Linked DNA regions of Alligator mississippiensis. The protein of the gene in region 1 purifies or fractionates together with the protein of each later gene. This does not show direct contact. Links are inferred from orthologs where the notes say so. Each region holds a gene or a part of one and is shown in the gene's direction. Other genes may lie near its edges.

Evidence for each region.
Region 2: the proteins of SYMPK (region 1) and CPSF1 fractionate together in Homo sapiens (co-fractionation; 5 studies listed by BioGRID and IntAct, with this or other methods). This does not show direct contact. The link is inferred for Alligator mississippiensis from reciprocal best matches to the Homo sapiens genes SYMPK and CPSF1.
Region 3: the proteins of SYMPK (region 1) and CPEB1 purify together in Homo sapiens (affinity purification with mass spectrometry; 3 studies listed by BioGRID and IntAct, counting the BioPlex papers as one, with this or other methods). This does not show direct contact. The link is inferred for Alligator mississippiensis from reciprocal best matches to the Homo sapiens genes SYMPK and CPEB1.

The regions. Positions count from the first base shown.
Region 1 is NC_081838.1:441,451-450,642, reverse strand, and holds the start of SYMPK (symplekin), read left to right. Parts: upstream 1-4,926; 5' UTR 4,927-4,941; coding exon 4,942-5,100; intron 5,101-5,302; coding exon 5,303-5,455; intron 5,456-5,940; coding exon 5,941-6,006; intron 6,007-6,261; coding exon 6,262-6,315; intron 6,316-6,593; coding exon 6,594-6,667; intron 6,668-7,767; coding exon 7,768-7,894; intron 7,895-8,223; coding exon 8,224-8,473; intron 8,474-8,811; coding exon 8,812-8,982; intron 8,983-9,192. UniProt on the Homo sapiens protein: Scaffold protein that functions as a component of a multimolecular complex involved in histone mRNA 3'-end processing. Specific component of the tight junction (TJ) plaque, but might not be an exclusively junctional component. May have a house-keeping rule.
Region 2 is NC_081826.1:1,525,752-1,535,753, reverse strand, and holds the start of CPSF1 (cleavage and polyadenylation specificity factor subunit 1), read left to right. Parts: upstream 1-6,211; 5' UTR 6,212-6,315; intron 6,316-7,999; 5' UTR 8,000-8,025; coding exon 8,026-8,169; intron 8,170-9,426; coding exon 9,427-9,454; intron 9,455-10,002. Other genes in the region: SLC39A4 (zinc transporter ZIP4), read left to right, coding at 55-259, 480-853, 952-1,132, 1,348-1,520, 2,370-2,528, 2,744-2,848, 3,109-3,163, 3,581-3,733 and 2 more. UniProt on the Homo sapiens protein: Component of the cleavage and polyadenylation specificity factor (CPSF) complex that plays a key role in pre-mRNA 3'-end formation, recognizing the AAUAAA signal sequence and interacting with poly(A) polymerase and other factors to bring about cleavage and poly(A) addition.
Region 3 is NC_081834.1:46,027,424-46,037,435, reverse strand, and holds the start of CPEB1 (cytoplasmic polyadenylation element-binding protein 1), read left to right. Parts: upstream 1-6,221; 5' UTR 6,222-6,312; coding exon 6,313-6,327; intron 6,328-6,426; exon of another isoform or gene 6,427-6,495; intron 6,496-10,012.

The DNA.
Region 1 (9,192 bases):
CTGCTCCCTGCCAGGCCCCTCCCCGCAGGCACGAGGGCAAACACAGGGATCCTGGGGAACGCCCGGGACCCGGACACGCCTGGCCCCGCTCCCCAGGGAACCTGCGTGTGACCGGGCCCCGCCTGCCATGGGGACAGAGCCAAGCCCTGGGGCGCGCCTGAGCCAGCTGCATCAAGCCCCACCACCCGCCCGCCCGGGTCCGCCCCGGATCTGTGGGGCAGGACGACGCCAGCCCCAGCAGGTGCCCAGGGAGCTCCCCATGCCCACCCCTGGGGCTGCCACGGGCCATGGGGTTGGCAGCTGGGGTGCCATGCCTCACAGATGGACGTGCTTGTGCACACACACCTGTGCAGAGTGGCCCCACTACACGCTTGTGGGCTTCTACACACCCGCTCATAGAGTGACAGGCATGTGGGCTTACACACACGCACGTGGTCATGCACACATCTGCATGCCTCCATGCAGTCACACACAACTGTAATCCCACTCATGTGCTCATGCACATCCGGGCACATACACGTGTGTGTATGTGTGCGCATGTGCATACCCCGAGTTCCCCAGGGATGTCTGCATGCTCACGCCATCACACAAAGCCACCCCCGTTGTCACACCCTGCTCAGCACACACATGGCTTACACTCACATCCACACACATCTCATCACACAGCTGCACATTTGCATGTTATTCCAGACATGCACACAAACCCAGTCCCGGGCATGCTGAGATTCACCCATGTAGCTGCCTGTGTGCACATGGAGGCATAATCCCTCACACCCTCGCACGCCTGCCAGGCATGCAGAGGGGGCTCCGTGACCCCAACCCCAGGGCCCAGCTGGGGTCTCCCTTGTGCTCCACACCAGGGCATCTGGAGGGAGGCAGGTGGCGGGGCCGTGCCAGCGCCAGGCAGCCCAGCCCCAGCTTCCCGGGGGCTTGGCATGGGCACGGCCAGGCAGATCAGGTGAGTTTTGCTCGGGCCGGGCAGCGGGGGGGGGCTGGGGACGTGGAATACCTGCTGGAGGTTATAAATAACCAGCAGGAGGGCACGACAGCCTGCCCTCGCCCCGCGGCTGGCGCGCCGGGGCCACGGCTCTGGGCGAGACTACAATGGCCCCTTTGACACCGGCACACACGGCTGCAGCTCCCAGTGCCCGCGGCCTCCGTCACTGCCACCCCGGCCCCGTCACCGCCCGCCTCCCTCCCCCCCCAGGAACCCCCACCTTCCACCCGTAAAGCGGAGCAGGGGCACGGGGGGGGGAGCCCCCAAGCCCCACTGGGTTTGGCAACGCTGGTGATATCCCGCTCATCCACGTGGCAGGATGTCTGTCCAGCGTGGCTGGGGGAGGCAGTACCTCTTACTGCCCCGGCACGGGGCAGAACAGCGCCTCCTACTGGGAGGGGGCAACCAGCCCGCTCCTTTCGGGTTCAGCAAGGACCTGCCCCCTGCCGGGACCCCTGCCCCCACGGCTCCGGGAAAGGGCTGGGGAACACCTTGAGCTGGGAAAAAGCCCTGGAGCAGAGGCGAGGGCTGGGGGGGAACAAGCCGCCGTGTGTGCAGCGCTGGGCCGCTGCCGACGCAGCCGCCCTCACATCCTCGCGGCTTCCCTGAAAACATCCGCCCGCCCGGCGGGTTATATATATCCATACATCCCTGAGTCAACACGGGGCCCAGGGGCTGCCAGGCCGGCCGCGCGCGCGGGGCGGGGGCACGGCTCCGAACACTCGGGCCTTTGTGGCCGGGGCGCTGGGCCGGCGGTGGGGAGCGCGGCCCGGCCCTGAGCATAAAGGTGTTCCTGTGCGCCCTGCCAGCTTCCTCCCGAGGTGTGAGACAGCGGGACACTGAGACGGCCCCGGGGTGGGGGGGGCGCGGGGAGAAGAAGGCGGCGTTGATTCACCCGAGCTGGGTTTCCAGGCCCTGCTCCATCCCTGCTGCCTTGGGGGGGTCTGAGCAGCCAGGGTGCAGGGGCGGTGGGGGGCACCTCTGGGCTGAGGCTGCCCCACAGCTGCGCCCCCCACAGCCCCCCGGAGCAGGAGTCTGTGTTTGGCTCCGGTGCGTACAGCGCCTGGTGCGGCCGGCCGCACATTTGTGCGTGCAGGCGGGGAGGGGAGCCCAGCTCCGGCCAGGCCGGGTCGGAACCGAACCCAGCTAGTGCCGGCCCCGGCCTGGCCCAGGGGCAGGGAGGATAGCACCAGCCGGGGGCAGGACGGCGCTTAGCCAACCCGGGGGTTAATGGTTAACGAGTGCTGGGCCGCACCCTGGCAGCATGGCCGGAAGCCACCCCCACGAACTGGGGGGGTCCCTTCTGTCCTGGAGCTGCCCCCCTGGGCCAGGCCAGGCCCTGCCATCCCCTGGGGTCCCGCAACCAGCCATTTTGTACCAGCAGCCATGATCCTGGGGGGGGCGGGGGGGGGTCTTTTTCCTCCCAGAGTCCCTTGGGGCCTGGAGAGTTGTCACCACCGTTTTGTTTGGCACGACCCTTCCCGCCCCCCCCCGATATTCCCAGCATCCCTTGCATCCCGGGGCAGCCATGTTGTCCCACCCGGGTCAACCGAAGCGGGGTGCAGGTGACCGGACCCCTTGGCAAGGGGCCAGGAGCCTGGCGGGGTAGTACCCCAGGGGCTGTGCCTGGCCCCACGCCCCTGCGGGACCCACCCCGCTGCCTCCAAAGCCCCTGGTGTCAGCAGCGAGTCCTGCCGCTGTGGGCCCCACACCCCGGGCCGAGCAGGGACCCCGGCCAGACCCCTGCCCCGATCGATGCCCCCCGGGCAGCTGGCACACGGAGCTCTTTGTGCGGAGCCGGCCCCCACCCGCCCGCCCGAAACACCTCCGACGTTTACAAGCTGTTTGTGATGATTTTACAGCCGGGCCCGGCCGGCAGGAAGGAGCTGCTACGCCCCGCGGCCCTTGGGGAGCCACGGCCGGCACCGGGGCCCCGGCACGGCGTGGGGGGGCTGGCACCAGTGCCCCGGGCCCTTTCTGCTTCCCCCCGCCCACACTGGTGCCTGTGGTGCCAGGAGAGGCCCCCCAGGCACCCCCTGCCCTGGCGCCCTCCTCCCCTCCTGGTGCATCCCCCCGGGCCAACAGGAAGTCCTGGTTAATGAGTAGCCGGTGGCACCGCGGGCAGGTGCGGGCCAAGGACGCCCGATAAGGAGCAGCCGGTGGCGGCGGTGGGACGCGGCCCCACCCGGCCGCAGCGCCCGGAGCCCCCCATGACTGCCAGCCGCGCCGCCCCCCTGGGCTCAATCCCCCGGCCGGGCCCTTGCCCCGGCCCGGGCCCCGGCCCCGGCCCCGGCCCAGGCCACACTGGAGCAAATGCCCCCGGATGGTTCCCCCAGTCGCTGGAGTTGCCCCACGGGGCAGCAGCGCCCCCTGGTGGGGGCAGGAGGGAGCTCGCTGGAGCACTTTGCTGCCTTCCCCCCGCCCTCCGCTTGGGCTCAGTGAACACCTCCACCCGCCCTCATGCACACTCACCTTGCACACCTGTGCCTGTTATGCTGTTCTCACCCTTGCACGCACTTACACGCCCCAATGCACACACGCCCCTGCACGCCTGGCCATGCTCACACTTACTTCTGCACAGCTGGGCACACCACCATTCACTTCCACACACCTGTCCTTGCACATCTGTGCTCACTCACGTGTGTACCCCCATCCTTGCCTGCCCATGCAGTTACCACTGCTTTGCACGCCTGTCCTTGCATGCCCATACACACCCACACCCGCTTTAGGCACTTGTCCTTGCACACCCATGCATACTCATGTTTGGTTTGTGCACCTCTCCTTGCATACCTGTGCACACTCACGCTTGCTTTGCAAACCTGCCCTCACATGCCCATACACAGTCACCCTCATTTTGCACACCTACCCTTGGACATCCATGCACACTCGCACTCGTTTTGCGCGCTTGTCTGTGCACACTCACACTTTTGCATCCTTGAACACCTTTGCACACCCCTTCTTGCTTTGCATGCCTGTGCCCACGCATGCTTTGCACCCCAGTCCCTGTGTCCCATCATTTGTACCTCCCCGCACACTTGTGCGCACATTCGCACACCTGGCACGCCTTCATTCACTTAGCTGCAAGGGCCTCACTGATACAGCTGCACCTCCCCACCCCCCCCAGCTCCTGCCTGCTTGCTCCGCCCTGGGGCAGGGCAGTCTGGGGCCTGCTCCCCCTCTCCCAGCACAAGGTGAGGGTGCCCCCACCTGGGCCAAGCTTACACCGACCCCGCCCACACAGGCCACAGAAAGGGGAAACTGAGGCACGGGGCGAGAGGCCTCTCGGTCCCACAGGACCCTGCGGCGGTGCCGCTCACAGAACCCGGGCGTCCGGGCTCTCGACATCACCCCTCTCGCGGCCGCGGGGGGACCCGGGTGCCCGGGCCCCCTTCCCCTGTGGTGGGCGGCGCTCGCGGTGGGTTGGGGAGCCGCGCCCCCAGCCCTGGGGCGGCCCCAGGCCCCGGGGGGCGGGAGGCACCTTTCCCCCACTGTGCCCCAGCAGACGCCAGGCGTGGACTTTGCCCGGAGCCGGGACATGACAGCTGTGTTTGCCGCCGGCGGGAGCAGCCGAGGGCCAAGGCCTGGAGACAACGCGGCGCTGGGGCGAGGGCTGCCAGGGAGGGGGCGTGCGCGGGAGTGCGTCCAGCAGACGTGTCTACACCCGAGTGCACGCGTGTGCCAGCCATGAAATCCCACCCTGCGTGGGGGGGTGCACACGTGTGCGTGATTGTGCGTGTGCCACGGGAGGGGCTCGTGTGTCACGGGGCGGGGGATGTGCAGGAGTCTACGTGTGCCACCGGAGGGGCTGGCGGCAGGAGAGGCACTGGGGTCAGGGGTCAAGGCTAGGGTGAGAACGCATCAAAGTGGGGGGAGGGTGTCCAAGCCAATCGCGGCAGGGGAAGACGGGGGTCAAAGGGCACCTCCGTGACCCCGCAGTTCCGCGGATGACGGATCCCAGCATGCAGCGCGGCGGGGCAAAGGAGCGAGCGGGAAGACTACATTTCCCAGGAGGCAGCGCGGCGCGCGCCTGCGCAGTGTGTGTGGGCCGGGCCGGAAGATGGCGGCGGGAGGCGGCGCTGGGCGCGAGGGCGCGTGAGGTGGAGGTGGGGGCAGGGGCAGGGGCAGGGGGCTGCGGCCTGGGGGGCGAGAGTGTGGAGTGGGGGGCTGGGCTGGGGTTGGGGGCATAGTGGGGGCAGGGGCAGCCCCGGGTTGGGGGAGGGGGGCCTTGGGGGGTCAGGCCTGGGCTCCACCGCGGGCGCGGGGTCTCGGGGCAAGGGCCAGGCACTAATTGGTTTGGTTCATTAGCAGCTTCAGCTGAGAGGCTCGCAGGGCCAGCCCCGCGCCATGGCCAGCACCAGCAGCTCTGGGGACGGTGCCACGGCCCGCATGAGCGTGGCCTCGCAGTTCTTCACGCAGGAGGAGGGCAGCGGCATCGACAGCACCACCACCTCGGAGCGGGTGCGCGGCCGCGGGCTCCGGCTCCGGCTCGGTGCCTCCCTGACGCCTGCGGCTGGGCCCCGCGGCCTGCTCTGCCGGGGGCCTGTGCCAGCCAGCCGGACTCCCGGCCTACGCACGGGCAGCTCCGGGTGCGCCGGGCCCGCTCCCGTGGGCTCCGATACGATCCCCGGCAGCGTGGGACTGCGGCAGCCCGTGTGGGCGACAGTCGGCCCCCCGACCTGGGGGACCTGGGCACGCGTGCAGTCTGCCCCCCTTCCTGCCCGGCCACAGGGGTGCAGGACACGTGGTGTCAGGGCCCGGTGTCTACGTGCCCGTGCACGGTGCTGCGTGGAGCCCTTGCTGTTCTGCTGCTGCCAGCACCCACGACGGGGGAGGCGCAGGGTCATTCCCCCAGGCGAGGGCGGGGTGGGTGTGCAAGCCCCCAGCTTTGAGGTGGCAGGAGGGCTTCTGGGTGCCCGGGACTCACCTGCCCCTGTCCCTGGCAGGTCGTGGATCTGCTGAACCAGGCCGCCCTCATTGGCAATGACTCCAAGATCAGCATCCTCAAGCAGGTGTGTGGAGAGCCGCCCCGGCCTGGGGGACAAGAGCCCGGGGTCTCAACCTGGGGGTGAGGGGGGTCTCGTATTCCTTCTCCTGAAGATGCCCCCCCCTTCCTTGGCTCTAGTCCTAGGCCTTCTCCCGGACTGGAAGGCCCCAGCCCATCATGGCAGACCCGTGTGCAGTGGGGGAGTGGGTGGCACTGGTGCCTGCCCCAGCTGGCTGTATAACGCCCCCCACTGTCCCTGTCCCCATCCCCCTCCCTACAGGTCCAGGAGCTCATCATCAACAAGGACCCCACATTGCTGGACAACTTCCTGGACGTGAGTCGCCAGGCACCCTGGGCAGGCCTGAGGAGCCTGGCGTGTCCATGCCCCATGGCCCCATCACCGCTGTGTGTTTGCGGGGGGTACCACGGGGGTCCAGCTATCGCCAGTCTGCCCTGCAACTGTCCCGGGGTTGTGGGGTGTCTGCCCAGCACAGAGCTGGCAGCTCGGCCCTTTGCCCCCTCTCCCCCACATGGTGCGGCCCTGCTGGGCAGCTCTGGGCACCCCCCCGCGTGCCACCAACAGCCCCCCCCTGCACCCTCCCCCCCGCGCAGGAGATCATCGCCTTCCAGGCTGACAAGTCCGTGGAGGTGCGCAAGTTCGTCGTGGGCTTCATCGAGGAGGCTTGGTAAGGGACGAGTGGCACTGGACTGGGGGACCCAGGCTGCGATTCCCCTGGGAATTCAGCCAGGAAGCTAGCAGTCTGGGCTTGGAGGTTGGCATGCTCGTTAGTGACGGCAGTGGAGGTGGAGGAGGGGAGGTGCTGCTAAGACCCCAGCTCTGCATGGGCAGTGAGGGCAGGGGGCTAGGGACATGTCTGGGGAGAGAGCAGGTGGCTTGGGAGCCTGGATTCCTGGCTCAGCCTCAGCCTTCAAGCACCACATGCCTCAGTTTCCATCCAAGTCCCAGGGGTCTAGGGGGAAGCTGCTGTGAGGCTGGTTAATCCTAGAGCACTGGGGGTGGATGGAACCCCCCTGAGGTCACATTTAGTCCAAGCCCTGGTCTGAGGCAGGATCAGCCCCGTCCAAGCCAGCCCAGACAAACCCAGCATCGGACCTCGGAGCAACACAGCCGTCAGCATGGACCTCACCCCCACCCCTGACCTCAGGAAAGCAGGAGGGGCTGTGGCTGCCAACATCCTGCTGCCTCCAGGGGGTCATGGATGCTACAGAGCCGAGGTCGAGGCTGTGCCCCTGCTTCAGGGGAAGGCAAAAACCCCCAGTGCGAACTGGTCTGAGCAGGAGGGTAATCTCTTCCTGCCCCAGTGCAGCGTGGGGCTGAGCCTGAGTGCAGGGGCAAGACTCTCCAGCCAGGACCCTGTGGGGATGGTGCCGGCAGGAACATTGGCACAGCCCAGTCCCCAGCCCTGCACCCAGCACCTCCGGGTGGGGGGGCTTAAAAACCCCGTGACACCTAGAGCAACAACAGGAAGGGGGTTAAGTGCCCTCCCAGCCCCTTGCAACAATCAGCAGAGCCCAGAAGCCTGGGACATCCCCAGAGCAGAGCATGGGCATCACTCTGCCTGGATCACCCCACACCAGCAGCTGCCCCCCCCACAAAGCCCTGCAGTGACTGAGTGTCCCTCCTGTCCTGGCGCCTGTCCCCTGCCTCCCTGCTCGGACACTGCCCAAGTTTTTCCTGAGGTCCAGGCTCACCCTGCTACCTGCAGGAGGGCAGTTGTAGGCACTGACGCCTCCCCCCCCACCCCCCCAACCTGCCACCCCTCAGCAAGCGTGACATTGAGCTGCTGCTGAAGCTCATCGCCAACCTGAACATGCTGCTGAAGGATGAGAACGTGAACGTGGTGAAGAAGGCCATCCTCACCATGACCCAGCTCTACAAGGTGGCACTGCAGGTATGGCCATTGTAGGGTGCTGCTGATTGGGGGGAGTGGGATTTGTCTGGGGGGGGGTCTCCTAGCAGGGGGTGCTGGGGGGCAGGATCTGCCTGGGCAGGGGGGTCCTCTCAATGTTGGGTGCTTCAGAGGTAGGATCTGCCTGAGGGGGGAGGGGGGCGTCTCCCAGCAGGAGTGCTGGGGTGGTCTCCCAGCCCCTTTGGTCCCAGCTGTGAGGGTAGGAGCTGACAGCAGGGTGTTGTCTGCTGTGTGAGCCACGGCCGGAGAGGGGCTCCAGCCTGCCCCTGGGGGCTTTGACACCCCGTTTCCACCCCCCACGGTCCCGGCAGTGGATGGTGAAGTCACGGGCGCTGAATGAGCTGCAGGAGGCCTGCTGGGACATGGTGTCGGTCATGGCGGCTGACATCATCCTGCTGCTAGACTCAGACAATGATGGCGTGCGCACCCACGCCATCAAGTTTGTGGAGGCCTTCATCATCACACTCTCACCGCGTCTGCCCGACTCGGATGTGCCGCGGCGCCACGAGGGTGACGTCAGCCTGGACCGTGTGCCCCGTGACCACCCCTACATCAAGTACAGTGAGTCTCACTTCAGTGGAGACCCTGGTGTGACCCCAGACCCCTCGGGAACCCTGGTGTGACCCCTGGCTCAGGATCCCCCAGACCCTGACAGCATCCCTTATCCCCCCTCATGACCCTGGTGTGAATTCCGTGCTGTCCTCATGATCCCTGTTCTCCACCCGCTTGGTGCAGTGTGACTCTTGTGCCCACCCAGTGCCATGGCATGACCCTTGGGTCCTCTCTGAACCATGCCAGGACCCTGTGTGCCCCCCCCTTGGTGCCCCAGCATGACTTGTAGCCCCTGGCACGACCCCCTCCATCCACTCTCCTGGTGACCTGGTTCCTCTGCCCTGCAGACATGCTGTGGGATGAGGGCAAGGCGGCACTGGAGCAGCTGCTCAAGTTCATGGTACACCCGGCCATCTCCAGCATCAACCTCACGGCCGCGCTGGGTTCCCTGGCCACCATTGCCCGCCAGCGCCCCATGTTCATGGCCGAGGTCATCCAGGCCTACGAGACCTTGCACGGTAAGCCCTGCCCCTCGGGGAAGCCCCGCCCGTCCCTGGAGCTGAATTGGTGTCCCGGCTCCCAGCCTGAGCCCGGGAAAGTGAAGCCCTGTCTCCTCGTCCTCCTGCTTCCCTCCCCACCCAGAGCCAGGCTGGGGACCCAGGAGTCTGGCCTCCCTACCTCATGATCCTGCTTCCTACGTGGAGCTGGTCTTGGAACCCAGGAGTCGG
Region 2 (10,002 bases), on another chromosome or scaffold:
GCCCCGGGGCTGGCTGGTTCAAGCGGGGGGTCTCACATGCTGCTCTTCCCCCAGCCGTGTGTGGACGCATCCCGCATCCTGGAAGAGAGCGCCAAGCTTTCGGCCCAGGTGGTGCGCAACATGGCAGGGCGGGTGCTGGCCGTGGCCGGGTACCACGTGCTGAAGGGGACCTGCCTCCACGCGCTGCCCCCACCCAGCTACTTCCTGGACTACATCTTCCAGCGCTACGGCAATGGGTCGGGGAACCTAACATTGGAGGGTGAGTCAGGGGCACTGGCCGGCACAACTGGGGGCACCGGAAATGGCACCCCCATGTCCACATGAGAGCCAGGCCCCACCACTGCAGGGCTGTGGGGTTGGGGGTGGCAGGGTGGGGGGGGTGTCAGGGGCACTCCCAGGCTATCAGCTTGGGGCCGTGGGACGGAGCGGGGTGCCAGGCAGGTGGGGGCCGTGTGTAATGAGCTCGGGGCTTGCACCAGGCCTGGCCGCGCTGATGGAGCAGCTGAAGCTGGGGCCCGAAGCTCAGCACGGGGACCACGACCACCCCCACGACAACCACACGGACCACGAGGCCCGCCTGGACCACAGCCACGTGGGGCACGACCATGATGCTCACGCGGGGCACGACCACGACGCTCATGAGGGGCACGACCATGACACTCATGCGGGGCACGATCACGACGCTCATGTGGGGCACGACCATGACACTCATGCGGGACACAATCACGATGCTCAGACAGGGCATGACCACGCCGAGTACACGGACCCCCGGCTGCCGCATGCACCCGGGTGGCTGCGGCTCAGCGCCACGGAGCCGGACCACATGGACAACGGCAGCCACGTGTGGGACACGGTGAGCAGGGCGGTCGCTGCCCTCCCCAGCCCGGCTGGAGCCACCCCGGGGCCCCGGTGCCCAGCCCAGCTGGTGCTGACCCCGGCTGTGTTCCCCAGGCCTGCCTGAGCGCCCAGGACCTCCTGGAGGTCTACGGCTTGGACGCACAGACGGGAATCTCCAGCCAGGACTTCTCTCGGCTCAGCCCGGCTCTGCTCCAGCAGCAACTGAGCGGGGCCTGCTCTGGCCTGCCCGCGGGCTCCGGCAGCAACCGCGACGGGCGCCTGAGCGTGGCTGAGAGTGAGTGCAGGGAGCCCGGGCATGGGAGTTGGGGGTGGGGATCGGGCCCCGATCCAGCCTCTAGTGGCCTGATCTGCTCTGGGCCCCTGAGTTAGGGGGCTGCTGCATGTCCCTGGTCACACGGCCAGATGCCAAGGCAGGAGACCCCCCACCAGGGCAGGGGCAGGGGCAGGGGAGAAGGAGCAGCCCCCGTGGCTGACGCCCGCTGTCCCCAGAGTACATCTACGGCTCGCTGGCCACGCTGGTCATCTGCCTTTGTGCCCTGATGGGCATCGGCGTGCTGCTGTGCACGGCCTGCATCAGCACCTACCAGTACGTCATCCAGACCTTCCTCAGCCTGGCCGTGGGCTCGCTCACCGGCGACGCGCTGCTGCACCTCGTGCCCCAGGTGAGCGCGGGGCGGGCGTGGGGTGGCACGTGTGCATGCAGGTATAGGCACCGTGCTGCATGGTGCGTGCCGGAGGAGGGGGGTGTATGTGTGTGTGGGATGATACGTATGTATGCATGTATATGTTGTGTGGTGTGTGCTGGGGAAGGGGGTGCATGGGATGGCGCACATATGCACAGGTTTAGGCACATGATTGTGTGGTGTGTACTGGGGAAGGGGGGTGTATGTGTGGGATGGCATGTGTGCACACATGTAAACACACATGACTGTGTGTTGTGTGCCAGGGATTGGGGGTAGAGTATGGGAAGGCACATGTGTATGTATGTATGCACGTGGCTGTGTGGTGCGTGCTAGCGAAGGGGTTATGTGTGTGAGACAGTACATATGCTTGCATGTATATGCACATGGCTGCATGGTGCATGCTAGCTGGGGAAGGGGTATGCGTAGGATGGCACATGTGCAGGCGTAGGTGTGTGTGTGCTTGCACATGGCTGTGGGAATGTGTACACGTGGGCATGTGATCTGCCACCCAGTGTGCAAGGCAGGACTGAGGGTGAGCGCAGAGCAGCAGAAGGTGCATCTGTTTGCCTGTGCGCATGTATGTGGCTGCCTGTCTGCACCCAGGGCTGCGTGTGCCTGTACATGTGTGTGTGTGTGCAGCGTGTGAAGTGGGCTGAGCCTGCATGGGGGGGGGAGGAGTGCACACAATTGGACGCCTGTACACGTAAGTTTGCTGCCATTTGGCCCGCGTGCAAGGCAGATGCATGTGCCCGGGGGGGTGACGGAGGGGCATGGCACACATCAGGTGTGCAAGGGGTGCTGAGGCCAGCCCCTGCCCCATCTTTGCAGTTCCTGGGCCTGCACTCGCATGCGGACGATGGCCACGGGCACGAGCACGGCGCGGCAGTCGCAGGCAGCACCTGGAAGCTGCTGGCCGTGCTGGGCGGCATCTACGCCTTCTTCCTGCTCGAGAAGTTCTTCAGCTTCCTGGTCCAGGCGGAGCACCAGGTGCGGGGCTGGGCCATGGCGGGGGGCGGGGGGGCTCGCCCTACAACTCGGGGCTCACAGGGCAGCAGGGGCCGCTGTGCTGGGGGGTCCAGCAGGGGGCGCAGTGCTGTGGGGTGGGGTGCAGCAGGGGGTGCCCCCTGTGCCCCGCAGGCCCCCTGGTGGCTGCACAGCAGGGGTGGCGCGGGGCAGGGGTGATGGGTGCTTGTTGCACGCAGGAGTCGGCCGGGGGCCACACGTGCGACCACGCCATGTCGCTGCAGCTCTACCAGGATGAGATGAGGCGGCGCAAGCAACTCAGAGGCGCCTCGCAGACCGACCTGGTAATGCCCTGGAGGGTGGGAGCAGGGGCACGGGTTGCCCCCCAGTCTGGCATGCCCCCACGGACATGGTCTGAGCCTCCCAGGGTCAGGCCAGCAGGGGCGTGGATAGAGGGGCATGGATTCAGTGATGCCTGCCTGGGACTTGGCCCCTCGGGTTTGGCCGTGGGGCAATGCCCCTGTGCCCAGAGGGTGTTTGGAGCGTGGCACACACGTGTGCAGCCAGCTTGTGCGTCACACCTGTCCATGCTTCCATCCTGTAGGTGCGGGCGGAGGAGGCCTGTCTGGGCAAGGCCAGCAAGGAACAGTACAGTCGGGGTGAGTGGGGGCCCCGGGTAGTGGAGGGCAGCAGCTCGGGGTCACGCGTGCCCGCTGACATGCGTGCACCCACACACGTGCGTTCACATGCACATCCATGCTTGTACACACATGCGTTCTTGCACATGTGTACATGTACCTGGACACAAATACATGCACGTAATCTGCCTCCTGCACATACACATACATGTACACACGTACACTTATGCCCACACATGCACCCTCACGCATGCACACACACACACAGGCTTGCGCACAGAGGCACCAACACATTTGTTGCGGGGGAGGCTGCTGACATAGCGATTTGCAAGGCCCAGCCCCTGGTGCAATGGGTCTAGGCCCCAGGGGACGACGGAGCTGCTGGGGCACTGGGGCAAGCACGTCCCAGCCTTGCCCTGACACCCCGGTGCCCTGCAGAGCTGCGCATGATCCCCTACATGATCACCATCGGCGACGCCATCCACAACTTTGCGGACGGGCTGGCCGTGGGCGCCGCCTTCTCTACCTCCTGGAAGACCGGGCTGGCCACCTCGCTGGCTGTGGTGTGCCATGAGCTGCCCCACGAGCTGGGTAAGGGGCCAGGGAGAAACCCTGGGGCCTGGTGGGGACAGAGACCCAGAGACCCCAGCCTCAGTCAAGGGCTTCATCCATCCCTATGGGACCCAGCCCAGGAGCCCACCCGGGGACACCATCCATCCCTATGGGACCCAGCCCAGGAGCCCACCCAGGGACGCCACCCAGCCCCATGGGACCCAGACCAGAAGCCCACCCGGGGACACCATCCATCCCTATGGGAAGCAGCCCAGGAGCCCACCCAGGGACGCCACCCAGCCCCATGGGACCCAGCTCAGGGAGCCCACCCAGGGACGCCGCCCAGCCCCACGGGACCCAGCCCAGGAGCCCACCTGGGCATGCTGCCAAGTCCCATGGCAGCCATCCGAGAGACCCCAACCCTGGGACCCTGCCCAGCCCCGTGCCGCACAGCCAGGCCCTGACCCTAACCCTGTTCCTGTCCCCGCCCGTGCAGGGGACTTTGCGGCACTGCTGCACGCGGGGCTGAGCGTGAAACGGGCCCTGCTGCTGAACTTCTGCAGCGCCCTCACTGCCTTCCTGGGCCTCTACATCGCGCTCTCGGTCACAGCCAGTGCCGAGTTCGAGGCCTGGATCTTCACCGTGGCCACCGGGCTCTTCCTCTACGTGGCCCTGTGTGACATGGTGAGCAGCGGCCCGGCTCCCAGGGCTCAGCGGGGAGGGACAGAGCCTCAGTCCTGGGGTGCTGCTTAGAGCCGAGAGCCCAGGACAGGGAAGAGGCCATGGGTCGGGAGAGGCACTGGCAGGGCTTGGGGGGAAAGGGGACGTGGGTTGGAAGTGAGGGGCACCAGCAGGGCTGGGGGGCAGGGGCTGCAGGTTGGGAGCGAGGGGCAGCTCTCACGCCTCTCTACCCCTTCGCAGGTGCCAGCCATGATGAACGTGCAGGACGAGCGGCCCTGGCTGCTGTTCGTGCTGCACAACGTGGGGCTCGTGGGCGGCTGGGCCGTGCTGCTGCTGCTCTCGCTCTACGAGGAAAACATCACGCTCTGAGCCCCCGCGGGGGCAGCAGGGGGCGGCACGGCCACGTGGTGGCCACGGGCAAGCTGGGAGCCGTCGCAGGACCCAGGGGACAACACGCACATGTGTGTGCATGCACGCACGTGTGCACGGAGCATATGGGACCTGCTGTATTTATTTAATTTATTCCACTGCAAGTGGCAGCACCGCCCTGACACCTCTCTCCCGCCCGGCCCCTGTGGGCACTGTCCTGCCCGGCTCGCGGCACAGGGACAGGGACGGGGACGGGCGGGGGCACCGGCTGCACGTCCTGCGACCGAGGAGAATGAAGAGTTTTCACTCAACGCTGTCGTGGAGAACCCGGGCGTCCGGGCCCAACCCCCAGAGCCCACGTGGGCACAGAGCCAGTACTGCCAACCCCGCCGTGCCAGAGATCATGAGACAAACTTAAAAAATAGATCGACCTGTAAATCATGAGGTGCTATTTTTGAAGTGTGTGCGTGCGGAGGGGGGCGGGGGGTTGTCGGTGGAGGTGTGGGGGGCTGTGGGGGGCTTGGAGCCGGGGGGCAGGATGCGGGGGGCTGTGGGCCACGAGTGTGGAGCAGACAGACACGCAGCGCCCAGCAGGGACACGGAAGAAAGGGGCAGGGCAGGGCAGGGCAGGGCAGGGCAGGGGTGAAGGGCCCCAGGGCTGGGCGGGGGGTCCAGAGGCGCGTGGGGGCTGCATGGGGAGATCCAGTCGGAGCTACTTTGCCCCTGAAATCCCGTCTCACGGCGGTTACACAACAGTCCACCACTGAAACCCCGGGCGTCCGGGACCGGCATCCGAGAGCCCCCGTGGGCACAGCACCCGTGTCATGCCCGGCCCCCCAGCCCCCGTGGGCACAGCTCTCCAGTGTCCCGGCCCGGCCCCCCCAGCCCACGTGGGCACAGCTCCCGTGTCCCGGCCCGGCCCCCCCAGCCCCCGTGGGCACAGCACCCGTGTCCCAACCCCACAGGGCCCACGTGGGCTCAGCACCCCAGTGCCCACATGGGTGCAGCACCCGTGTCCTGGCCCGCGTCCCCGGAGCCCACGTGGGCGCAACTCCGCAGTGTCCCAGCCCAGCACCCCCAGAGCCCCCGTGGGTGCAGCACCCCAGTGTCCTGGGAAAGACCCCCCAGCCCATGTCAGCGCAGCACCCCCACCCCACGTGGGCGCAGCCCCGCAGTGTCCTAGCCCGGCCCCACACCCCACGTGGGCAGAGCACCCCCGCGTCCCGGCCCTGCCCCTCACACCCCACGTGAGCGCAGCCCCAGCGCCCGGCCCGGCTGCGTCACACTCCAGCCCCGCCCCTTGCTCCTCCCCCTCCCACTAGGGGGCGCGGCTAGATCTGGCGGACTCCCCTCCTCTATGATCTCTCGCTACCCGCGCGGCGCGGCCCGTCTAGCCAGCACTTCCGGGTTACAGTTCCTCGCTCGGGGAGGCGTGGCTAGGCCTGGAGGACCGCCTTCCGCAGCGCGCTCTATGACCCCGGCTTGCGCCCCGCTCGCTGCCGCTCTAGCCGGGTACTTCCGGGTGTCGGTGGCGGCCGGTTGGAGGCTTCCGGCGGGTGCATGAGGCGGAGGTCGGTGCTCCCGGGAGGGCCTGCCCGCGCGGGGGGGAGGGGCAGGTTTAGGCAGCTGGAGGGGGTGTGGGGGGCTGGTGTGGGCAGAAGGCGGGGCAGTTATGGGGGGAGGGGCAAGTCTTGGAGTGGGGGAGGGGTTGGTCTGGGGGTGGCGGTGCTGGTGCCTGCAGGGGGAGGGGCTGGTGTTGGCAGGGGTCGGATCCGGGGGGTGCTGAGGTGAAGCAGCTGGTCTCGGGGGTGGTGCTATGTGGGTGCCCCCGCCCCTGGGATCCCGGCCCCTCCCACAGATCTGGCCGCCTGCCCTGCCCCCACTAGCCGGACCGCGGATTGGGCCCCCCTAGCACCATCCAGCTGGGCCGGGCCCTAACTCTTCCCCGCCCGGGGGCCGTGTGGCCAGGCTGCCCCCCAGGTGTGGCATCCGGCGCCCTAGGGATTGACACCCCCACGGATGCGCTTCGCTAATCGCCGTCGTGTAGCCCTGCTACGCGTGCAACAGAAGCTGCGTAGAAACCAGTGTCGGGAATTGTTACATATTTTCAAGCGCCCACTTTGTGGCTGGACGTCCATTTTTATGTCATGATTACTTTGCACGCGTGGCCGGTCGAAATGTACTGTGCGATCGCCCGCTAACTGCATAATGTACGCAACCTAACAGGGGCCTTCTTCAGGTGTGTAGCGCAAAATCTGCCTCCTCGAGCACCTTGACGCAGCTTTGCTGCCGGTTGTTTGCTCACCGGCGTTAACGCGAGCTCCCGGGAGCTCAGGTTTGTAGCTAGAGCTGAAGGCAGCCTGCGGGGCTGCGAAATGCATGAGAGACGTTACAGAGAGCAGCCAGCAGACATCGCTGCGGGAGGAAGGATGATCGCGTGAGAGCGATGTTGTAGCAGCGATGGTCCAGACGTTATGTGAGAGGCAGGGGGTTTTTCCAGGCGATGTCTTGGGTTGCCCCAGCTGGGTAGTTGGGATAGTGTCAGGCAAGCTTTCAAATGCAAAATGTTCTTCATCAGGAGGAGCTGGCGGCGTGAAGAGAGATTAGCAGGAATCCAGGAGGCGATCATAAGCCGTGACTTGGGGTGGGATAGCTGTGCGCGCAGGTGCGGGCTGGGGAGTGGCGCTGCGGAGACGAGGCCGGCACAAGGCTCCTGCTGGGCTGCACGGACACCTGAACATCAAGGGCAGCGATTCTCCACTCTGTGCAGCCCTGGGGAGGCTTCCCCTGGAGCCTTTTTGTCCAGGTCTGGGCCCCTGCGCTTCAAGAAGGATGTGGGCAGATTGGAAAGAGTCCAGAGCAGGGCCGCAAAGACGATCAAGGGAGACGAGACTGCTGAGAAGGGGCTGGGAGAGCGAGGGGCATTGAGTCTGGAGAAGAGAAGCCTCGGAGGGGGATTTAATCACAACCTTCAGATACCTGGGGGTGGGGATGGGCTTCTCTCTGTGGCCGTTGGGGACGGGACTAGGAGAATGGCTTCAAGCTGCAGCAGGGGAAACAGGCTGGGGATGAGGAAAGCGCTGATGCTGCGGGTGGTTCAGCTGCCCAAAGACATGGGGGAATCTCCGTCCTTGGGAGCTTTCAAGAGCCGCTTGGGCAGACACTTGCTGGGCTGGTCGAGTCGGGGACAGTCTGCCTGGAGCAGGGGTCAGACTGGATGTGACCTGCCGAGGTGACAGCCACGTGTCGTTGCAGGGCGGCGTGCATGGGAGCCAGCGGGGATGTATGCGGTGTACAAGCAGGCGCACCCCCCCACGGGGCTGGAGTTCTCCATGTACTGCAACTTCTTCTCCAACACTGAGCGCAACCTGGTGGTGGCGGGGACGTCGCAGCTCTACGTCTACAGGCTCAACCATGACTCTGAGGTACCCCCTGCTTGCAGCCATGCCCTGGGTCTAGGGAGGCCTGGCGCTAACCCTGTGCCCTGTTTGGGCACCCAGCCCTCTGCTGCAGTTCAGGGCAGGTGGCTTTTAGGCACCTTTGAGCACTGAAGGGGCTGAGTCTGCAGGTGGGGGCAGTGGCTCATAACCCCAATGGAGCCGGCTAGCCTGGTGCAGCGCTGTGCTTGAATTGCTGCACTGCTTCTGGTGCTGGAGCCGGCTCGAGGACCTCGGAACGGCTCTGCCTGGCTCCCCAGAGACGTGCCCTTAACTCTGCACGCAGCCTGCGCTGAAAAGTGCTGCAGGAATTCAAGCGTCGATAGAGACCCAGCTATGCCCTGCCCTGCAGCAGGAAGCCCCCTCATTCTTGGAGGACTCTCCTGGACCTCTGGGCTCATGGTCCCGCTTCTCCTTTGTGGTTGCCTGCCAGTCTCTGCAGGGGAGCTGCTGGGGTCTAGTTCTGCCTCGGTGGCTGCCTGAGATGGGCAGTTTCCCTGGCTGTGATGGGGACGGGACTCATTGGGAGGAGGAGGGCTGAGCGCTGCAGCTCTGCTCTAGGACCTCGCTTCTGCTGCAGCTGAAAGGCTTTTCTGCTCCAGGGCTGCAGCCCTGGCACTTCGGTCCCCCCCTTGAGCGCTGAGCTCTCCCTCTGTGGGCATCAGGGCATCGTTCCCTTTTGTCAGGGTGGTGGCTGCTGCTCTTGCTGAGAGGGAAGGGAAGGAGAAAGCAATATGCCTCTCACCCGCAATGAACCTGGGGAGTGGTACGAGGCTGCATGGGGGGTGCTTACCTCTCTGAACCTGCGGCTGATGCTTGTGCTCTGACTGACATAATATTTCACAGGTGCTGGCATTGTACTTGCATCACGTCTTGGTGTTCCCAAGGGGCTGAGGGCAGGGGCGTTGGCAGAGCCGTGGGTCAGACCTGAGGGGTTCAGCTGAGGCCATGAGGCTTCAGGGCCAGGTGCGGGGGGGCAGGTTGGGACTGAGAAGCCCTGGTGGGGGATAGGGGGAGGCTGTGAATGAGTGTCGAGGGGCAGACTGGTGTGAAGGGGGCGGCAAGGCCATCAGCCAGCCCTATTCCTTCTCCTCTGTGGTCAAACTAGTCGCCCTCATGCTGGGGACGTTTCACTCCCCGCTTTTTGCCCCGGGGGGAAAGCTGGCTGCCTGGGCTGTGGGGAGCATACCACAGAGCTCCCCGTGCTGCCTGTAGGTCCTGATGCAGCTCTTCCTTCTTTTCCAGACCTCGAGTAAAGGCGACAGGAACACAGGTAGGTGAGCGGTGAACACAGGGCAGGCTATGCTGCAGCGGCAGGGGGGGACCATGGCCTCCTGGGTCTCTGCTCCCTGGGGGAGGATGCAGTACCAGAACGGGGTGAGCGTGAGCCCTGTGTGTGGAACCCAAGAGTGACAGGAGCACCCCAGCCCAAAGCCCAGGTTCTCACTGCCCCGTAGGGTGGAGTCCAGCTGGCTCGGTTTGAGGTGGGGAGGTCTCTTAGTTGCAGCCGCACTAGAAAGCCAGATGGCCTACAGGCTGGCGCCCCTGACACAGCCTGATCAGGGCATTTCCTCTCCTTCCCAGCCCTTGAGAGGGCTCCTGGCTCAGGGCAGTTTACTGTTTCCCTGCTGTCCTGCAATCAGGACTCCTGCTACCGCACCTCCCCAGAGGGACTACCCATGGGACAGTGTTGTGCTGAGCTTAGCTATATCCCCTTTCCCTCTGACGTGCAGCAGTTCCCAGTGCTCTGCCCAGGGCCTGTCCTCTGCTGGTTCTTGAGCTGGCCCTGTTGGGCAGTCCTGAGCATAGGAAGAGGAGAAG
Region 3 (10,012 bases), on another chromosome or scaffold:
CTACATTACTTTGGTTGGTGACTGTCTGGGACTCACTCTGATGAGCTCTTCTGCCCTGAGTCATGATAAGAGCTTGTCTGTTGTGATAATATTTAGCACCTGAGCTTCTCATAAAGGCACCACGGTCTCCATTTTCCAGATAGAGAGATGGAGGATCAGCAAGGAAAGGTGAGTTTGTGGGTTCCTAGCATAGTGTCCACATCACCAACTCATGCTGCTCTCCAGGTAGAGATGTCTGATGTCAGTCACACACTCTGCAACCTCCACACACACACACATGCGCGCACACACACACACACACACACACACACACACTGGGGACACCACTAAAGCAATGCATGTTCCCTAGGAACATACTGTACTGAGACATCACAGGACTTGTCCCATACTGTCAGGTTCCTGGGGCCTCTTGATGGGTTTCGGTAGGGAACAATGGCATGCAGTGTAATGCAGACAAGTGCAGCTTGTGTCACTGAACCCGAGCTCCCTTTACCCTGGCTCGCTGGGGTACCACACGCAGTATAACTCTGGATGCAGGATGTCCAGCACAGTCTTGCCACCAAAACACTCACCCAGGCTCCTGAGCAAGGTTTCATCCCAAGCTAAGCTCTATACTGCCCTGGCTATCCTAGCTGCCCCTGAGCTAGTTGGTTTAAACATCACTCAGGTGTGACTGCCTGAGTTGCAGCCCCTGCAGTGTAAATGTGCAGGGCAGTGAAGGGCTGAGCTGACTCCCTTACTGTAATTTCAGTCCTGGCAGAGCCTTGGTTGTGCAGAAGCCTAGGGAAGGGCACAAGGCTTCATGGCTTGAAGGAACAACTCATTTACACACCTCTTCACCAAGCCAGAGAGCCCTGCCTTCCCTTGCTTCTCAGGCCTACCATGAAGATGACAGAAACCCAAAGCAGAGCTGAGGGGAATGGGCAGCTCCAGACATGGAGCCTAAAGCAATGTTAAAGGGCACACCAGCTGCCAATGGGGAGGGTAGGAAAAGGAAGCGTGGCTTCCCCCAGGAGTGGAGGAACGTCTTCAAAGTGGCAATGTGTACGCTAGGAAGGGTGGGTGGGCTTTGAGGGGAGGGACATGGGCTGGAGTGGGATGGGGTCACAGATGAAGGGAAGGGAGGCCCCACGGTGTCCAGAAGTTGTATCCTTGTTTCCTTACGCAGGGCAATTCATAAGGAGGAGGTACATTGCTCCTTAGAGTCCTAGTGGTGAAGGATTTATGTGGGCTATGAACAGATGGACACTAAATAGATAAAGCAAGTCCTGGCCCCAGCATATGCTGTGAATTCCCAAGCTAGCTGTGTCATATCCACCTGAATATTCATTTGCAGCAAAGGGGGAGGATGGTCTCATACTTCAAGCATGAGCTCAGGATGTAGGAGATGCAGCTCCATGCTGCAGCTCAGCCAGGTAATAGCTCTGTGGCCTCGGACAAGTTCCTTTCTCTCTGTGTCTGTTTCTCCATAAGGACTATGAAAATAAAGATACCTTTCTGTGGTCTGAGGCACTGCTCACTCATGGCTGTCTGGCACTCGGCTGTCTGCAGACAGGTGATGCTATAGTTGGGCAAATTGCCTGCCTTCCTTCCTTCCTCACCATCAGCATCATTGTTGCTTTAGTGTTGTTGTTTTTGTTGTTGTTGTTGTTATTCCCTAGGTTTGTGGCGCGTGCCAGTGTGTGTACAAACATAGGAAACTGCTAAGGAATCCAACAAGATTCCTGGCTAACTGTGGCCTTGGCCTCACCACGATCCACTGGCTGGGGAATTGGCTCCGTGGTCGGACCCAGAGGGTGGTGGTTGAAGGAAGTTAATCATCGTGGTGCGCTGTGACCAGTGGGGTCCTTCAAGCCTCTGTCCTTGGGCCAACACTATTCAACATCTTCATTAATGATGTGAACATTGGTATCAGAAGTGGACTGGCCAAGTTTGCCGATGACACCAAACTTTGGGGCAAAGCATCCACACCTGAAGACAGGAGGGCGATCCAGGCTGACCATGACAGGCTCAGCAAATGGGCGGATGAGAACCTGATGGTGTTTAACACCGAAAAATACAAGGTTCTCCACCTTGGGAAGAAAAACCTGCAGCATCCTTATAGGCTCGGCAGTGCTACGCTGGCTAACACTATGGACGAAAAGGACTTGGGGGTCATGATTGACCATAAGATGAACATGAGCCTTCAATGCGATGCTGCAGCTAGTAAAGCGACCAAAATGCTGGCTTTCATCCATAGATGCTTCTCAAGCAAATCCCGGGACGTCATTCTCCCATTGTACTCAACCTTGGTGAGGCCGCAGCTGGAGTACTGCGTCCAGTTTTGGGCTCCACAATTCAAAAAAGATGTGGAGAAGCTTGAGAGAGTCCAGAGGAGAGCCACACGCATGATCAGAGGTCAGGAAAACAGACCTTACGATGACAGGCTGAGAGCTATGGGACTCTTTAGCCTGGAAAAGCACAGGCTCAGGGGTGATCTGGTGGTCACCTATAAGTTTATCAGGGGTGCTCACCAGGATCTGGGGGAATATCTGTTCACCAGAGCACCCCAAGGGATGACAAGATCGAACAGTCATGACTGTTTCAGGCTGGACATAAATAAAGAAGAACTTCTTTACTGTCCGAGCCCCCAAGGTCTGGAATAGACTGCTGCCTGAGGTGGTTCAAGCACCTACTTTGAACACCTTTAAGAGAAATTTGGATGTTTATCTTGCTGGGATCCTATGACCCCTAATGACTTCCTGCCCCTGGGGCAGGGGACTGGACTCGATGATCTTCCGAGGTTCCTTCCAGCCCTAATATCTATGAAATGTATGAAGATATTATATGTGTTGATGATAACACAAGTATCCTACATTCATATGACCCTCTTCAACCCACGCAAATAGGCATCATGCAAACTACACAAGGATCTTGTTGTCCGCATGGGAAGCACTGCCTGAAATCCAGAACTTAACCAGAGGAAACAGAGGAGAAGAGTGTTGTGTGTCATCGGCATCAGAGGAGGGAGTTACCAAGCTGGGACTTCTTCAGAGCACCCAACTCCTTGAAAGTCCTGAATGATGTCCAGTAGCCAGGACCTCAGTTTTATAGCTCACTAAATGCTGCCCTGGACACCCTGCTGGAGGTATGGCTCTATGCCAGAGAGGAAAGAGCGCCTCTTATTGAACCAACAACAGTATGCCGGCAGCACATGATGGGTTCTCAACAAATACTTAGCTCAGAAGGCTTCAGCCAAGCACAGCTTGAAGTGTCATGCTACAAACAGAAGGAATTGCAGGGCAACCTCATTGATCTCTGTGTTTTGACATCATCCATTCTTATGCTGCCTTGCATTTCTGGAGAGGCTCTTTGCAATTGCCTTGGAGTACCATCTCTGTGACACCTCTTTCAAGTGACATCATGGGTTTGGACCAGGCTGCAGCAGCCTCATTAAATTGAACTGGGGCTGAGAATTCCCCCCTTGTGTCTCTCTCTCCTCCCGGCAGCCGTTGACATGGCAGCAGACGTCTCTCTGTCCCCCAAATGATGCAATTTCTCCGAGGCCCCTGAAAGCCGTGCCAATTCCGGTGTGTTCCTAGAATGCCTTTCCTTACCCAGAGGGAATACCTCCTAGCTGGTCAGCCCTGATAAAATAAACTAGGGGGTTCCCTTTGCTATTAATGCAGCCTTTTGTGTTAGCAAGAGCGTCTGCTCCCTCTGCTCAACTCTGCTTCTGCCCATCTCATTGCTCCTGCAGTAAAGTCTCAGTCCCTGCCCTCAGAACAATCACAGTTTGCAACCTGCCCTGCCTCACTGCTGAAGAAGCAAGCAGGCAACCCTGATAGAAGATGACAGAGAAACCCTCCTGCTCAACCCATCACCCTGGAGAGTGAGGAAAAGCTCACAGGAGTTATTAGGGATAGGAAAAGTAAACAGACCCTGTTTCTGAGAGACTTGGAAGTTCTCCCTGGGGCATCTTTGAGATCAAATGCACTTTCCCATCTGGGGGGTTTTCCCAGTCTCGGTGAAGTCAATGGCAAAGCTGCTGCCTGGGGCACTTGGAGTCTCTGGGTGGCTCTTGCACATTAAAGATTGATTTCCAAGTCCCCTTGGAGCTCTGCTCCAGCAGACCTGCAGCCCCGTCATCACTGTGTGGTAATGCATTATTTTGCGGTGGGCTCAGATCGAGCTGCTACATGGTGGGAGGGGGCACTGGCATTTCTTTATGAAGCCTGAAATTCTGCTTCTCCAATTATCTAAGTTTTTGCGAGGAAAAGGAAATACCCTTACCTCTCTGGCTGTTCTCATTGCAGAGAGGCCATTGCACACAAGAACCAAGTGCCACTGATGCAGCGATACCTAAAGCCAGCACTCTGAAGGATGTGAACACACCTGTTGTTTCACACAGGGGCTGTCTCAAACACCCAGCAATACCACATTAAATGTCAGCACACTGTGGACTCTTTCACTGAGATCAGCAGGAGGTGGCAGAGAGGAGAGGGAGGATGACCTGATGAAGATGTATTGTGAATGATGCTCATCTAGGCACTACAACCAAGTGGGTAGTGCCTCCCCCACTACCTGCCCCTTTGCTGCCAAGCTCATGAGAGCAGAGCCCTGAGTGTACTTGTATCCCAGGAAAGGGGTGATGAGCCCAAGGAGACAAGGGAATATATAGGACCATGACTCTAATATCTATACTGCCTCCCATGAGCACTGTCTCCTGCGTGGAGTTTATGTGACGGCTGGAGCTTGACAGAGCACCTGCATTCCCTTTCCCTCCCCACATCTCCATACCTGCCCATGATTTTCTCCTTACATAGATTCATAGATTCATAGATGTTAGGGTCGGAAGGGACCTCAATAGATCATCAAGTCCGACCCCCTGCATAAGCAGGAAAGAGTGCTGGGTCTAGATGACCCCAGCTAGATACTCGTCTAACCTCCTCTTGAAGACCCCCAGGGTAGGGGAGAGCACCACCTCCCTTGGGAGCCCGTTCCAGACCTTGGCCACTCGAACTGTGAAGAAGTTCTTCCTAATGTCCAATCTGAATCTGCTCTCTGCTAGCTTGTGGCCATTGTTTCTTGTAACCCCCGGGGGCTACACACAGGTCTTATTCACATTAGGATTTTTTTTTACTTTAGCATTTCCTAGCGGTAGTAAAAGTGCTAGGGCATCCATGCCAGCATTTTAAGCATCGTGCTATGCACAGCTGTCCTTTGCAGCCGAACAACATGGCACTTGAGATGCCTCCCAATGATGCCTGTACCAGTACACAACCAACCAGCAACATAAGAAGCGATAGGACATTTTAGGGACAACGGACTGCTTGCACAGCCTGATTTTGTCTCGGGAAGGACCAACCGAATCCAATGAAACAAATGCTCATGGGAAACCACATGAGATTCAGTTACCTGTTGGAGCAGGCAGAGCTAAACCCAGTGCCGTGTTGCTCAACCTGCGGGTCACAACCCAAAAGCAGGTGGCAGGAATATATGGCAGGGTCACGAACAACCTTTAAAAATGGATTCTCTATTCAAGGAGTAAAATGTGGGAAACCGTGGCTTTTCCCTTGCAAGCAGACAGCGCTCCAGCCTGCGAGGGGCTGCTTGGCACGCCCCACACACAGGGGCTGGGGGCAGCCGGTTGGGAGCGAGGGGCATGGGTCAGGACGTTTACAAATGGGTCCTGGTGCAAGCAAGGCTGAGACCCCTGCCCTGGCGGCCGGCCCCTGCTCTGGCGAGGCGGTCAGAAAATTACACCAGTCTCAGCTGCCCGGACGGCCCCGTCTGCGGCGACTCGCTGCCCAAGTCCTGGCAACCCTGCGACCAGTCCCAAGCAGCAGCGCGCCTGCACGCCTGGCGGGCCCCGGTGAGCTGTTAGTATGGGCCCCCTCTAATAATAATCATTATTATTTTCATAATAATCATTGTTTTCACCATTTTTAGGCCCCCTTTCTGTCTGGGCCCTGGGCAGCCACCCAGCGCACCCATGGCGCCAAGGGCTTCATAAAGGCACTTTTGTGCCCCCGCCTTCGCAGGCGGGAGCCCGCCATGTCCCCACACTTCAACACGCGTCTGGGAAACAGGAGGCGGCCGCTGCAGGGCGGAGGCGGGGAGCGGATGCCAGGCTGCGGCCCCTTTAACAGCCCCTGAGGGAGCGTCGGCGAAGTGCCCCGCGCGGGGCGGCCGCAGGGCGGGGAACGACGGGCGCCGGGGCCGCGAGTCCCGCCCTTTGGCGACGCCCCCCGGGCCCGCAGCGGCGGCGCCTATAAAACCCGCGGGGCCGAGCGGCGCGTGGCGCTGGGATTGGACTGCCCGCTCGCCCGCATGGCCTTCCCGCGGGTGAGCGCCGCGCAGAGCTGGGCCCGGGCGGCACGTGCCGGGTGGGGTGGGGTGGGGCGGGGGAGGGGCGGACGCGGCTCGGCCCGGCCCCGCCCCGCCCCTTTAAGGGCGGCCCCTCACGTGGGTTCACACGTTGGCGGCGGGGCCGGGCGCGGACGCCCTGACCAGGTACCGGGGTGGGGGGCGGCGGCGCGAGGCGGGCGGGGGCCGGGACGGGGCTGCCACGTGCGGCCCCGCGGGAGCGGGCAGTGTCTGGTGCCCCGCGGGCTGGGTTGCAGGGCGGGGCGCTCTGCTGCTGCGGGGCGGTGTTCGGGGTGGGCCGCTGCTCCCCGCCCGCTCGGGCGGAGCGGCGGGTCCCGTCCTCGCCCGGGTGGAGGCGCCGGCCCGGAGCCGGGGCTGCGTGGTGACCTTGCCCGCCGGTCCCACCCGCCGTCCTGGGGAAGGGGTGGGTGTGCTCCGCCCGGCTGAGGGGGTGGGACGGGACGGGACGGGACGGGAAGGGACAGACGCTTCTTGCCGGTAGGAAGGAAGCTTTCACTGTGTGGATTGTGTCCCGCCCGCGCCGAGTTCCCCGAACATCTTGCGAGCCCCTAACCCCGCGACAGAAGATGGAGCGAAGTCTGCTCTACCTTAGTCCGGGCGCTGGGCTGAAGTCCCAATTAATGCCTGGCGCCCTGCTACGGACTCGGGGCAGCAGCCTGCCTAGCGCAGGGGCAGGAGCCAGAGCCTCCACCCTGCCCCTGAGAGCCGCGGGGGATGGCGCAGGAAGCGACTGGCCGAGGGGATGGCTTTCTTGAACCTCTTTGCGGGGTGGCGGGGAGGGAGGCGTTCCCCTCCATGTACCTGAGCAGCCCCTCGCCTGTCCTGTCCCCCGCAGTGTCTTTTGTGGCTGTGGGGGTAGCAAGGCAGTGCTGTGTCTCTTGTGGGACTCTCCTACTAACAGAAGGAAGGCCCTTGCGGACAAGCACGGCGCCCAGTCTCGGAACGGCAGAGCTGCACCGAGCTCCTAGCCCTGGGGTTGCTGATGGAGCCAGTACAGATTTTTTGGGCAGTGCCAGAGTTCAGTCTAGTTAACTTGCCTCGGACCAAGTGATGCTGAAGACGCTGTCTCCAGGGGTTTGACACTGATGCCAGAGGGTCTAGGGAAGTGTTGCATCTTAAACAGGGCTGAGTGCACTGATCTAGGATCTCTGGCCCCACTGTTAACATGGGTTGGGTGTGGACAGGAGGAGAGAGCCTTCCTTTGGCTCCTCTCTGTTGGAGTGAAAAAGGATTATGGTGTATGGGCAGGCTCTGGGCCTGTCTAGAGTTTGGGTAGAGCTCTCCTCACTAGCCTGGGATCAGCTACAAGGGAGTCCCGTCATCCTGTCCCTGTCCTGTCTCGTCCCCCCATAAATAAAAGGTACGTTCATTATTTGCTTGCTCCATGCTGGGTGCCTGCATGGTGCTGCCTAGATAAAGCCCCTGCCCAGAGCTCTTAACCTCGGTAGGACAGGTCTCCTTAGTGAGGTGAGGGGTGGGAAGGGGTGTAGAAGAAGAAGAATAGGAGGGGAGAACAAAGAAAACACCTTGTCTGCTGGGCTGGGGTGGGACCACTTGCATTGCTGTCAGGCCACTGCTGGCCTTGCTGACTCTGCCCTGAGAGCAGGCAGCGCTGGGGCTGGCATGGGATTTGGATCTCTAGGAGAATCCTATCTCCCTATTTCATTCACGGAAGAACATGAAGGCTCAGATCAAGCATAGTCTGCTTGCCTGGCAAGGGAAACACTGTGACTGTGGAGGTGGTCTTCCTAGCCACACCGGGGAAGACTGCTGTCCTGGCATGGGGTTAGCACCTGCCAAGGTAATGTATAGTAAACCTCCCACTTAGCTGCTGGAGTGGAAAGGTCTTGGCTTTAAGCCCACTTTATGGGAATGTGGGACTTCTCCCTGGCTTGCCCCTGGAGCCTTATGGCAGAGGGCAAGCAAATCTCGGGGCATCTGAACCCCAAGCCTCCAGGTTTTGGGAACATCTGAAGCCCCAGGTTGGGGTGGAGGATGTTTGCTGGTAGTAGGGCCACTTATGGTTCTGGACTCTTGGATTTGGAATTGGTTTTGGCTAATTTGGCCTGGGAGATCTCTCTCTCTCTCTCTCTCTCTCTCTCTCTCTCTCTCTCTCTCTCTCTCTCTCTCTCTACCTCTCTCTCTCTCTCTCTCTCTCTTATTATTTTTTTTTTTTTAAATGAGAAATTCTGTGGTGCTTAGGGAAGCTCAGGTGTTACCTGGCAGGGGAAACGCCATGACCATCAAGGTGGTGTCCTAGTTGCACCCAGGGATAACGTTTTCCTGGCGTGGGGGTAGTACCTGCAGAGGTAATATAGTTTTATGCCAACTTTATGGAAACGGGAGACTCCTCGCTAGCTTGCTCCTGGGGCCATATGGCTGAGGGCAAGCAAAACTTGGGGGCCTCCAAACCCCAAGCCTCCGGGGTTAGGCCTGCACGTAGGATTCCCACCAAAGGATTTGAAAGCATCTGATGCCCCAGGTGAGGTAGGGGAACATTTGCCAGTTGTGGGGCCACTTATGGTTCTGGACTGACTCATGGATTCGGAATTGATCTGGCTGATTTGGCTTGAAACACGAAAAATTTCCACAGGGGAAAAAAAAAAAATCTCCCTATGTTGTTCCTCATTCCTGCTTTTCTCCTGCCTTATTAGCTGGCCCAGTTTTCCCTCTTCTCAGTTCTCTTGAAGCATTTTTGTTGCTCCTTGAACTCCCCTTCAGAGGGATTATTGCTGGAGGACCTTAATGAGGTACTTGGATGCCATTACCCAGGGAATCCTAGTTAGTATTTCTGGGAAATCTGCTATCACTAGTAAAAGCTCTAGAGAAATTGGAGCCTTCCTGGTCTGCTGTTTGGTCCTCCAGGGTTCTTGTCAGTTCCACCAGACAAAATGTTGTTACAGGCTGCTGCAGGGCTGGGCAGCTCTAGTTTGAGCTGCAATGAACTGCGGTAGTCGGAACTGTGCGAGTGGCTGTTGTTAGCAAAGATCCAGCAGTTTCCAAGGGCGGGTGTTGAAATGGCTCACCCTGTTCTATGGCACAGCTCTTGCCCTGGTTTAAATGCTTTGTCCGTACCTACCATGGCCTGTGGAGCTTGTGCTCTGTGCTTTTAGTCATGTCCCACCAGGGTGCAACATGCCCAGAGTAGAAGCTGTCTGGATGTTCCACGGGAGGGCGGGTGAACAGACTCCTAAATTCACACCTAGAGCTGTAACCAAGTTAAGCTTGGCTTCTTCACCAGCACCAAGGGTAAATTTAGCCTTTAGATCACAACTGAACTTATGACTATGGCTTATTTAGGCCTGTCCAAATTGGCGTTACTGCTGTAATTCGTTTCCTCTGTTCGCTTTCTATCTCTCAATGATTTGCTCCACCCTACTATCTATTGTAGTAAATATTGATAGCAGTTTTCTGTTTTACAGCCAATCTGAGTGTTGTGCAAGATGGGAGATGGTCTAGTTTTGGCCTGTGTAAGTGATACCCCTTAGTTGTCCTGTCTATTACAAAACTAGCTGCACGGGGGGGGGGGGGGGGGGCTGACTGCAGCAGAGTAGTTAATGCACATGTAGACGCGCCCAGTTTTGTTCTGCCATATTGGAAGCAAAAGAACTAAAGTGCATTAATGAAAATTAAATTTTAGTAC